3 linked regions of the Danio rerio genome follow. The protein of the gene in region 1 purifies or fractionates together with the protein of each later gene. This does not show direct contact. Links are inferred from orthologs where the notes say so. Each region holds a gene or a part of one and is shown in the gene's direction. Other genes may lie near its edges.

Region 1 (3,736 bases):
TTTGCGTTTCCTACAATGGATGTCAGTGGTTACCGGTTTCTTTCTTTGTGGTCATCATAAGAAAGAAACTCAAACAATGATAAAGATGAGTAAATGATGACATACCATTCATTTTTGGTGAACTTTTTTATCTTTAACTTGTAACCCAAATCCATGAGTATAAGCCGGTGTGCTTACTCAAACAGATGTTGCATGAGTGATGTTGTGAATTTGTTTTTGTGCAGTGTATTCTCACAGGGACTTAAAACTGGCTGTGCTGCAGATAAGGGCGCCCATCATCCAGGTTAGTGGTGTATGTTAATGCAACAAGTGTACAGGTGCAATTAAAGGCACAATATGTATGATTTTTGTTTATTAAAATAAAGGCGTGCTATCTATTTTGATCAAGATTAATACTTCAATTATCACAAAGAACTTTTAGAAGAATGTTCAAATTAAAAAAAAAACAAGCAATTTGAACTATTGTGACAAACCGTGTCATGTGTTGCCATGTGAATTACAACACGCACCCTCGATTTCTGGTTTGCTTTTATAGAAAACAGAAATAGCAAAGATGCTCTAATATGTCGTGCCTTTTATTAGACTGCAAGAAGCAGCACTTTATCAGAATCTTAAGATGTATTTCGTATGAAAAACAGCATTGCTGCTTACTCATTTGATCATGACTGGATGAACTGGAAGCGGTAGACTGTGGTATAATAAAAGCTCTGTTGTCTTTATGCTGTATCATTCTTGTCTCTCATCTGTAATTCTTCAACTCATCCATTAACAAGATTTCTGCAGAAGTCCCATAATTCCATATTCAAACTGTGCCTTTGTTTGTTCTGAACAGATGCCCTCGACGGCGAAAATTGCATACTGTGCCTTTAAGTCAGGGGTATCCAAACTCGGTCCTGGAGGGCCGGTGTCCTGCAGATTTTAGCTCCAACTTGCCTCAACACACCTGCGAGGATGTTTCTAGAAAGCCTAGTAAGAGCTTGATTAGCTAGCCCAGGTGTGTCTGATTAGGGTTGGAACTAAACTTTGCAGGACACTGGACCTCCAGGACTGAGTTTGGACATGCCTGCTTTAAGTGGTTAATCAGTGTGGAGTTTTTATTGCCATGCTGATTTTTTTGGTTCTGTCTTTTACATGTCACAGACTCTCAAATATAGCCATTACAAAATGTAAAAGCCAGTGCTATCTAGATTTTGTTTTAAGACCCCATTATAGGGATAGTTTACCCTAAAAATGAAAATTTACTCACTATTTATTTAGTCCTCCTTATGTTCCAAACCTGTTTAAATTTCTTCTGCTGAACACAAAAGCAGACATTTTGAAGAAAGCTGAAAACCTGTAACCACTAACTTCCATAGTAGAGAAACACAAACACTTTGTCAATGGTTACAGGTTTTCAGCATTCTTCAAAATATCTGATTTGTGTTCAACCGAAGAAAGAAACTCAAACAGCGATGCATTTCCCAAACAACAATGTAACTCGCGGCTGAACTATCATAGTACGATGCATCGTTTGAGAAAAGAACAATGTAGTGACAGGTGTTTTCCAAAACCCTTTGTTTCTCTGTCGCAGATCCATCGCTTGAACCATGTTAGTTATTACGTTAAACGCCCACAATGATGCTCTAAACTGGGCGGAGTAACTACTTCATTAAAGAAAACCCCATATTTTACACGCACACGCATTTACACAATTGTAAAGATGAAGATCACTATAACTGAACTGTAAAAACACTTTGAAAGCAAATTACACCTAAGAGAGATGACCTTAATGCTTTTTTATTTTTAATAATTCCAACTTTGAAAGTTAAAATGTTCTAAATGTAAAGGGCATAGGGGGGATAAGTGGGAATAGAAGACAGCCAGGAACTATTTTTCTAACTACAGCTCCAGAGGTGTAGTTGCAAGCGCAGAAGTTTGCGACGCAGTTTGCGAATGTTCGTTGGAGCGACGTATTTGGGATATGGCAAATTAACAAACCCTGTTTGTAACGACGGAACTTGCGACCTTAGTTGGCTAACGATGGTTTTGGGAAACCCAATGTTTGGAAAAAGTGAAGTTTGGAAAAATGATAACAAAATGTCATTTTTTTGGGTGAATCTCTTTTTTACTATTATATTAATTATACAATATGCAGTTTAATATTAACAAATAATAATACAATATAAATAATACGATGAACCTGCCTATATTTTGTCAATATTACATTGCTCAATTGTTACTCCCTTACCAAAGTACTGTCAACTGTCTTGTCAAATTGTATCTAAACTAACTTACATTTAAATCTCGCTGATGACACAATAATAGTCACACCGATAACTAAAAAATGCCAAATATCTGCTGGTACATACTGTAAACACTGACAATTTAACAGTCGATTACTAATACAGTCAGTTTTTATTTTTATCTTAGACAAAAGTGAAATCATTCCGAAAGCTGATGATCTCCTGGATGAAGAGCAGTGGATTCCTCAGAACTGTGCTGCTGTCCAGTGCACATGCTTATCAGAGAGATGACCAACAGCTTCATGGGTAATGAAATACTGATGGCCTGATACGCAGAATGTAATTTATATAATGTAAATGAATGGCAAGTATGTGCGGTGCAACATTTGAAGACTAAAGCTGTAAAATAAACACTAAAACTGTGTTATCAATCATCATGTGATTAATTTTAAGGAAAGAAAGCTTTACTTTAAAATGTTTCAAATTCTATATTTTTTTATACAACAAAATGTTTTAAAATCTAAAAACAAAATGAATATTTAAGTCAGGGGTGCTCAACCCTGTTCCTGGAGATCTACCTTTCTACAGATTTCAGTTGTAACCCGTATCAAACACACCTGCCTGTAGTTATCAAGTGCTGTTCAGGTCCTAATTAATTGGTTCAGGTGTGTTTGATCAGGGTTGGAGCTGAACTTTGCAGGAAGGTAGATCTCCAGGAAGAGGGTTGAGCAGCCCTGATTTAAGTCATTCATTTACAGGACAATGGTGTGTTGATTTTTGAAAAAGGGTTTTCAAGATGCAAGTTTTTGTAAACCGTTATGCTATTGTTTCTGTGTATATTATGAAAATGTGATTTTGTGAACCAGGTAACATTATTGCACATAATGAGGAACTACAGGGCAATATGTGTGCAGGGGTGTAGTTTTTTTATTTTTTTTTTTTTTTTTTTACGTTGCTACTGATCGGGATTCTAGAATACATTTTTAGTCATTTTTTTGTAAATGTGTGTGTGTGTGTGTGTGTGTGTGTGTGTGTGTGAGCACTATTTTTGAGTTTTATACACACCTGCTAGAGACTCAACTGACTGGACACATTCAATGACTACCAAAAAGCTTAAAGGAACAGTTCACCTAAAATTGTCCTCACCATTTACTCGCACTCAACATTTATTAGGGTATCCGTGGGGATTTAAAAAAAATCTTAAAATGTTTTACATGTCAAAAACTAAATTTTAGACTTTGGAAAAAGTTTTAAATTCACTGAAATATTGTCTTGTAGGTCTTAAATAATTTGAAACGGATCTTAATCCTTCATTGTTTATTTAAAGCTACCCAATCGATCCAACACAATCACAAAGCTACCCAATCATCAACAATTCATCTCAATAAAACTTTTAGCAAAACTATATTCATAACTAATTGTAATAGTTAATTCATAACTATGTCTGTTGTGCATACATTTATTTTAAGTTTTTTTTTTTTTTTTAATATGTAGCTAACAAATAACTAATTACA
Region 2 (3,174 bases), on another chromosome or scaffold:
ACTACAGTCAGCTAAGAACAGGAAACTGAGGCTACAATTCACACAGGTTCACCAAAATTGGACAATAGAAGATTGGAAAAATGTTGCCTGGTCTGATGAGTCCCGATTTATGCTGCGACATTCGGATGGTAGGGTCAGAATTTAGCATCAACAACATGAAAGCATAGATCCATCCTGCCTTGCATCAACGGTTCAGGCAGGTGCTGCTGGTGTAATGGTGTGGGGAATGTTTTTTGGCACACTTTGGGCCCAAAGGTACCAATTGAGCATTGTGTCAATGCCACAGCCTACCTGGTTATTGTTGCTGACCATGTTCATCTTTTTATGAACACAGTGTACCCATCTTCTGATGGCTACTTATATGGTGCCATGTCATAAAGTGCGAATCATCTCAGACTGGTTTCTTGAACATGATAATGAATTCACTGTACTCCACTGACCTCCACAGTCACCATATCTCAATCCAATAGAGCACCTTTGAAATGTGGTGGAACGGGAGATTTGCATCATGGATGACAAATCTGCAGCAACTGCGTGATGCAATCATGCCAATATAGACCAAAAACTCTGAGAAATATTTCCAGAAGCTTGCTGAATCTGTGCCATGAAGGATTAAAGCAGTTCTGAAGGTGAAAGTGGGTCCAACCCGGTATTAGAAACATACCTAATACAGTTGCCAGTGACTGTTAAAAATGTCATACAAAATTCAGTATTTTTTTCTTGTCTCACTCATCTATACTTTTTTTATTTAAAATATAATCAATTGCATTTAAAAGTATAGATTTTTAAGTCACTGATGCTGACTGTTTTATTAAATACAAATTCAAACAGACATAGTATTACAGAAATAGTCATTATAAATAAAATAAAAAACTCCCTTTAATGATAAAGTTGAATTTTCAGCAGCCAGTGTCAAATGATCCTCCTATTACATCACGTATTGGTACTCAGAAAACATTATTTAACATAATTAAGTAAACTATTTTTGAGGAATTTGTTTTACTTTTCTTGATGAATAAACTGTTCAAAAGAACAGCATTTATTTTGAAGTAAAAACAAATTATAAATAACTTTGTAACAATAAAAGTCCTGCCATGCATGTTTGATCATTGTATTGCTTATCTGAACAAATGTGTACGTTTCCCTTTATGTTTGATTGCCATAAATATAATGCTAAAATAACTACGATTTAATGTTGATAAAATATAAATATACAATGACATAAAACTGTCATCCATGCAACAAAAGTCAACGGACCGTTCCTCTCTGTCTCTCTCCTCCTCTCGTTCAACATCTTTCCCCTTTGTCATTGTATGCGTAGAAGAAGATCACCCACGTTTCAGTGTTCGCCGAGGGATGTTCATAAACTGAATTCCATCGACTTAACAGGATAGTTTACTAGCCCCCGTCAATAAGTTACAGGTGAGAAATTGCTGTTAACTGTACGCTGTTCTGTCTAAGAAACTGTGTGCTGTTTTTAGCATTCTGTAAGGCTAACTTATAGAGACTATGAGCCTCGGTGTTTCCTGGATTACACACCGCGTTTGATAAGCCGAACGCCGCGACGTCATGCGGCCTAGTCTCGCTTTAGCACCGAATTAGCATCAAGACTAAATCTTTCCGCAGAGCTTTCTGTTTGCTTATAACTTCCAGTAATTCGATTGTTAATAAGTATTATCATATGAATCTCATGATTATTATGCTTGGTGGCTCTTACTCTTATTTATTTTCAGGTGAAATTAAATAATGGCCCCTCAACCAGTCATCCGATCAAAACAGGCAGAAAAAACAATAAACGGAAACCAAACTCAAGTTGTTTGCACGGAATTCAGCAACTACATATTTATCGTTCTGACACAGTATGGTAAAATTGGAACACTTGTGTCTATAACGCCTGACACGAGGTCCGGTGACATCAGTGTACCAATGTACACTAGCAAAGTCCTGCTGGGGAAAGATGAGGTACTGAAGTGTGCTTTCTGTTTGATAACTATCAGCATAACAGATAAAGTCGTGTTTGTGATTCACCTTGTCATTTCTGTCTCCTTTGCAGCCTCTTACACACGTCTACGCCAAGAATGTTGCAACGTTTGTCTCACAGGAATCAGGCAACCGACCAATCCTGTTGGGCCTTTCACTGAAAGACAACAGTGCTGAAACTATGAAAACTGTTAAAGATATGATCAAAAGCTGCCAGGTTTGGTAAACAGAAGGTCACATGGCGAGCACACTATTTTTGTTTTGGAGTATCTGTGTGATTTATACATCATAAATCTTTACTTGTCTTTGGTGAGTTTACAGGATGCTTGAGCAGATGGTGATCTTAAGTGCTCATGCTATACTTGAACACTACTCAGCACTTGATTCTTAATATAAAAACGTGAGAGAATTGTTCAGTTTCACTTCTATTTTTCCAGATAATAATGGATGTCTTTAAGTTGTCACAAGAATAAATTTATATTTTCTTATCTTTGGTTATTTTTGGTGCTCATTTAAATGATTCATACCAGTTCTAAAACATTTGGAAAAGGACCTGCAATGTTAGCCTCACATATACTGTCTGCTAAACAGTTATTGAATTCAGTGTTCACTGAAATGTTCAGCTACTTTAATCCATATTTTCCCCATATGATTTTAATTTAGTTACAATCCAGAGTTGACTTTTTTATTTGAAATAAATATAAGCTAAAATTAAGTTTATAAACTGAGTATAAATATACAAACTGAAATCATTTTGTTCATTTCTGTCATTCTTCTACACAGAGGGCTATTTTACATTTTGAGGGCCTGAAAACAAATTTTTGAAGTGGAGATTTATGAATACGATGAGGCCTTGCATATTACTTGACAACCAAAACAACAGTGGTGGCTTACACAGCTGGATGTGCACAGGCGTGTATGTTTAGTGTTTCTACACCGTGCCATTGTCAGCTTAATGCACATACAGTTGAAGTTATTATTATTAGCCCTCCTGAATCATTAGCCCCCCTGTTTATTTTTCTCCCAATTTCTGTTTAACGGAGAGAGGATTTTTTTTTCAACACATTTCTAAACATAACAGTTTTAATAACTGATTTATTTTTATTTATTCTAGCCGAAATAAAACAAATAAGACTTTCTCCAGAAGAAAAAGATATTATCAGACATACTGTGAAAATGTCCTTGCTTTGTTAA
Region 3 (4,279 bases), on another chromosome or scaffold:
CCCTTCCAGCCAGAAACATCCAATCATTTATTCACACTATGGCCGATTTAGTTCAATTCACCTATAGCTACCGCATGTCTTTAGAGCAGCGGTGTCAAACTCAATTCCTGGAGGGCCGAAGCCCTGCACAGTTTAGTTCCAACCCTGCTCGAACACACTTACCTGTAGGTTTCAAACAAGCCTGAAGGACTCAATTAGTTTGATCAGGTCTGTTTAATTAGAGTTGGAACTAAACTGTGCAGAGCTGCGGCCCTTTTGGAACTGAGTTTGACACCTGTGCTTTAGATCAAGGGTGTAGAATTAGCATGGACTGAGGGTACATGTCACCACCATTATCCACAGATTATTAAAATGCTCCCACCAATAATTTAGTCACCTCCAAAAATAAAATCATTCATTCATTTTCAAGATTTTCCTGGGGCGAGTCGCGAGGGCAGTAGTTTTAGGAAAGAACCCTCCAGCGTGTCCTGGGTCTTCCCTGAGGCCTCCTTAATTCCGGTGGGACATGTCTGGAACACCTCCCTAGGTAGGCGTCCAGGAGGCATTCGAAACAGAGCCACCTCAGCTGACTTCTCTCAATGTGGAGGAGCAGAGGCTCTACTCCGAGCTCCTCTCGGGTGACAGAGCTCCTCATTCTATCTATAGGGGTGCGCCCTGTCACCTTGAGAAGGAAACTCATTTCAGCCGCTTGTATCCGAGATCTTGTCCTTTCGGTCATGACCCAAAGCTCATGACCATAAGTGATGGAACGTAGATTGACCGGTAAAGATTTGCCTCTCAACTCAGCTCCTTCTTAACAACAATGGACCACATTACTGCTGCTGCTGCACCAATCCGCCTGCCAATCTCACATTCCATCCTTCCTTCACTCAGGAACAAAACCCAATACTTCAACTTCTCCACATGGGGTAAGGACTTTCCTCCAACCTGGATATATTGCAAACCTCATTTTCCCGGTGGAGCCCTATGGCCTCGGACTTGGAGGTAATAGATATTCAAATATTAAATGTTATTTGTAGATATATTTTGGCATATATTACACAAGTATTTCTAAAACCATGATCTCAGTTCTGAGAAAAAAGAAAAGGGGGATAAAAACAATTTTAAAGATGTTTATTTATTTTTTTACTGCAAATAATTATTGTCTCACAATGATTCTAACCAACTTACTCCAGTTTGATAGCTTCTTTATGGAAATAAAATGGGTAATATGCAGGTTTAGGTTTACTGTACACAAATGTAATTTGAGAACAAGCCTATCCAGAAGAATATTCCATGAAATAAAAGCGTGACAACTCAAAACCAACTCTTTTATTTTCAGTAGAGAAATCATCCGTTTTATAATGGCTTATAATGTGTACATTTCTTTGTCGTGTAAACTCTTTCGATAAAAACTATATGCGGATGATCTGGCGGGAGCGCCTGAAGCAGAGACACGTGTTACACGGTATATATTCCTACTCTATAGGTTCCTACACTGCTTATCCTATAGATGTGAGGCGGAGCGCGGAAGCTCTAACGTGTGACACAGAGGGAAACTAGTCTAGCGCTTCCCGGAAGCGAGACCGCAGAATCATGGCGACCGTCTCAGTGTGCCAGTACCAGCCCGGCGGTTTCAGTTTCGAAAACTGTAGGAGGTGAGTTTTAAGCGTCTGTATCATTTGTTATTATGCCGGGGACGTTGGATAATTATTGTGTTTTTAATTCGTCGAAAAGCCCGAGAGTTTAAAACAAGTTTAACGGCATTTTAATGATCGGTTGAGCCACGGCCTGTGTGAATGACTCAGGAGAATTTGCTCAAGCTTATTTGAATAGCGGATTTAATAAGTAAAACACATTATGATTAGCATTGCGTTCTGTGTGAAATAAAAAAATATATAAATATATATGTTTATTAATATGAAAGAGTACGTTTTTTTGTTAGTGTTGATAATGTGTTGTCATTGTTGGACTGCGGACCCCACACCTAAAGTGTGTATGCAAGTTCACAACAAAAATGAGCATGTAAACTGTGGATTAATTTGTTTTTCATTCTGTTCTGGCCTAAAACATTTTTTTATTTAATCAATACACGGTGCGGTTTGAGTTTGATGTTTTAAAAGGTAAAACACAAAATCATTGTTCATGTTTTGTTATTGGTGGGCTGCGGACCCCGTCCACACAGTCTGTATCTCAATTAACGTTACACCAAACTGACTTTTAAAGTGTAAATTAAAGTGAGTTTCATTCATATATAAATACATTTTAAGTCAAAAAACCATTTGATTTGTATTTAAAACTTACTCAACGGAAAGGTTAAGTTGCATATACAGGTGGGTCTTTTTGGAACAGATGAATCCAATACTTAAGTTATTGTACGTCTTTTAAATTATGATTTCTTTTATATTATTTCCTTTAACCCGACTTAGTTTCTTTTATAAACCGGAATATTTATATATGTGAATAAAGGAGTGGTGAGAAAGCAGGAGATCTGTATCTGATCCATACAGTCAACGTGAATGTAAAACATAATGCTTGTTGTACATTTGCTGACTGGAAAAACTAGTGGCTTTCTGCTTGTTAATGTTGGATATTATCCATTTTAGAGCAGATTTTTGTAAGATAGAGAGCTGAGCAAACCCATCTTTTTTATTATGAACCATTTAGTTATGGCCCGTGTGAATGACTCAGGAAAATTTTGAACACAGTTTAATTAGCTCCAGCTCTTTTGAATCCGTTTAATTGCGTAAAAACACAAACTAATGTATATATTATTTATAAAATATACAATTTAGTTTTTTTGTAATTTTGTAATGTATTTTTTTTATTTATTTTTATTTTTTTTAGTTTACTAGTAGTGTTTTTTTACACTGACACTCTGCAGCCCCGATGTCATGTGTTTGTACCAGGTTTGTACACAAAAATCTAAATGAACTTAAGTTTTGTTTATTTTTAATTTGTTAAATCATTTCTGTTTAATGTCTTATGAGCAGATTAGTATAATGAATAAAAAGAGTCTTTTAGTAGCTGCTAAATCAAATAATTCACTTATTGTTTGTGTCTAAAGTTTTTTATTGTTTTTATGAACAACACAAAGATACATATGTACATAGGCATAGAATGATTACCATTTTCAAGGTTTACCGTGCTTTGGAAAAGTCAAGGTTTTAAAACCACCGGCATTTTCTGCTATACCGTTATTTTTATTTCCTTTTCAAAATACAACAAAATTGTGTTCAAAAGAGGAATTTTAGTTTTTTTTTTTTTTTTTTTTTTTTTTTTTACCCAGACATTTAAAAATAATATATTTTAGAGCAGCAATCACAATACTGTCAAACCATAAAACTTTCATCCAAGGTTGTCTTACCGTCAGAATCTTATACCAGACCATGCTTATATGTACAGTATAAGTGTGAATCAATAAGTGGTGATAAGTGCAAAGTGTCAACTAGTTGTCAAAAGATCTTAGATTTTAGAATTTGTTATTGACATTCTTCTGTATACTATTGATTTCTAAAACATATTGTTGCATAACACCCATAAGAAAATAGCAGAGATTAAATAACAAAATAAAACCTTTGTGCTATTTTAGAAATGCTCTTCTGGAGGCAGACATCACTAAACTGGGTTTCAGCTCTCCTGCTGCCCGTAAAACCGGAACCACTATCTGTGGGATTGTTTATAAGGTAAGAAAAAAAAACAGTTGAATTTAATGTGTGAAATCCAAGGTTTGACTAGATACTCACGTCTCACTTCTGTCTCAGGATGGTGTTGTTTTAGGTGCAGACACTCGTGCAACTGAAGGAATGATCGTCGCTGATAAGAACTGCTCTAAAATTCACTACATCTCTCCCAACATTTAGTGAGTATAAACTCACGTCATGCATGCTTGTAGTTTTTGATCCCTGACATCAAATGACACTGCATGTTTTTCTGATTTGTTGCATAGCTGTTGTGGAGCAGGTACAGCGGCGGACACTGAGATGACCACACAGATCATCTCCTCCAACCTGGAGCTTCATTCTCTGTCCACCGGTCGTCTGCCACGAGTCGCCACAGCAAACCGCATGCTCAAACAGATGCTCTTCAGGTGACAAACACCTATTCTGCGTGTGCAATATAGATCTTAAATGTAGAATTCTGATGTTTAAATGAAGAGTTTAAAAGCAAAAACCTCTTAGTGCCTTCTGATTTGTATTTTTTTTTTGTCTAAAACGAGCATTTTGTGTGTAGGTTCAGTAATTTCACTTTAATGGAAAGTATACGTGTTCTTTTTATGGCCTTTAAACTGAAATGACTG

Evidence for each region.
Region 2: the proteins of psmg2 (region 1) and psmg3 purify together in Homo sapiens (affinity purification with mass spectrometry; 4 studies listed by BioGRID and IntAct, counting the BioPlex papers as one, with this or other methods). This does not show direct contact. The link is inferred for Danio rerio from reciprocal best matches to the Homo sapiens genes PSMG2 and PSMG3.
Region 3: the proteins of psmg2 (region 1) and psmb7 purify together in Homo sapiens (affinity purification with mass spectrometry; 3 studies listed by BioGRID and IntAct, counting the BioPlex papers as one, with this or other methods). This does not show direct contact. The link is inferred for Danio rerio from reciprocal best matches to the Homo sapiens genes PSMG2 and PSMB7.

The regions. Positions count from the first base shown.
Region 1 is NC_133194.1:13,456,639-13,460,374, forward strand, and holds part of psmg2 (proteasome assembly chaperone 2), read left to right. Parts: intron 1-224; coding exon 225-283; intron 284-2,409; coding exon 2,410-2,528; intron 2,529-3,736. UniProt on the Homo sapiens protein: Chaperone protein which promotes assembly of the 20S proteasome as part of a heterodimer with PSMG1.
Region 2 is NC_133178.1:41,960,032-41,963,205, forward strand, and holds psmg3 (proteasome assembly chaperone 3), read left to right. Parts: upstream 1-1,311; 5' UTR 1,312-1,422; intron 1,423-1,733; 5' UTR 1,734-1,746; coding exon 1,747-1,962; intron 1,963-2,053; coding exon 2,054-2,206; 3' UTR 2,207-2,468; downstream 2,469-3,174. UniProt on the Homo sapiens protein: Chaperone protein which promotes assembly of the 20S proteasome. May cooperate with PSMG1-PSMG2 heterodimers to orchestrate the correct assembly of proteasomes.
Region 3 is NC_133196.1:9,696,472-9,700,750, forward strand, and holds the start of psmb7 (proteasome subunit beta type-7), read left to right. Parts: upstream 1-1,479; 5' UTR 1,480-1,575; coding exon 1,576-1,637; intron 1,638-3,571; coding exon 3,572-3,665; intron 3,666-3,743; coding exon 3,744-3,841; intron 3,842-3,928; coding exon 3,929-4,069; intron 4,070-4,279. UniProt on the Homo sapiens protein: Component of the 20S core proteasome complex involved in the proteolytic degradation of most intracellular proteins. This complex plays numerous essential roles within the cell by associating with different regulatory particles.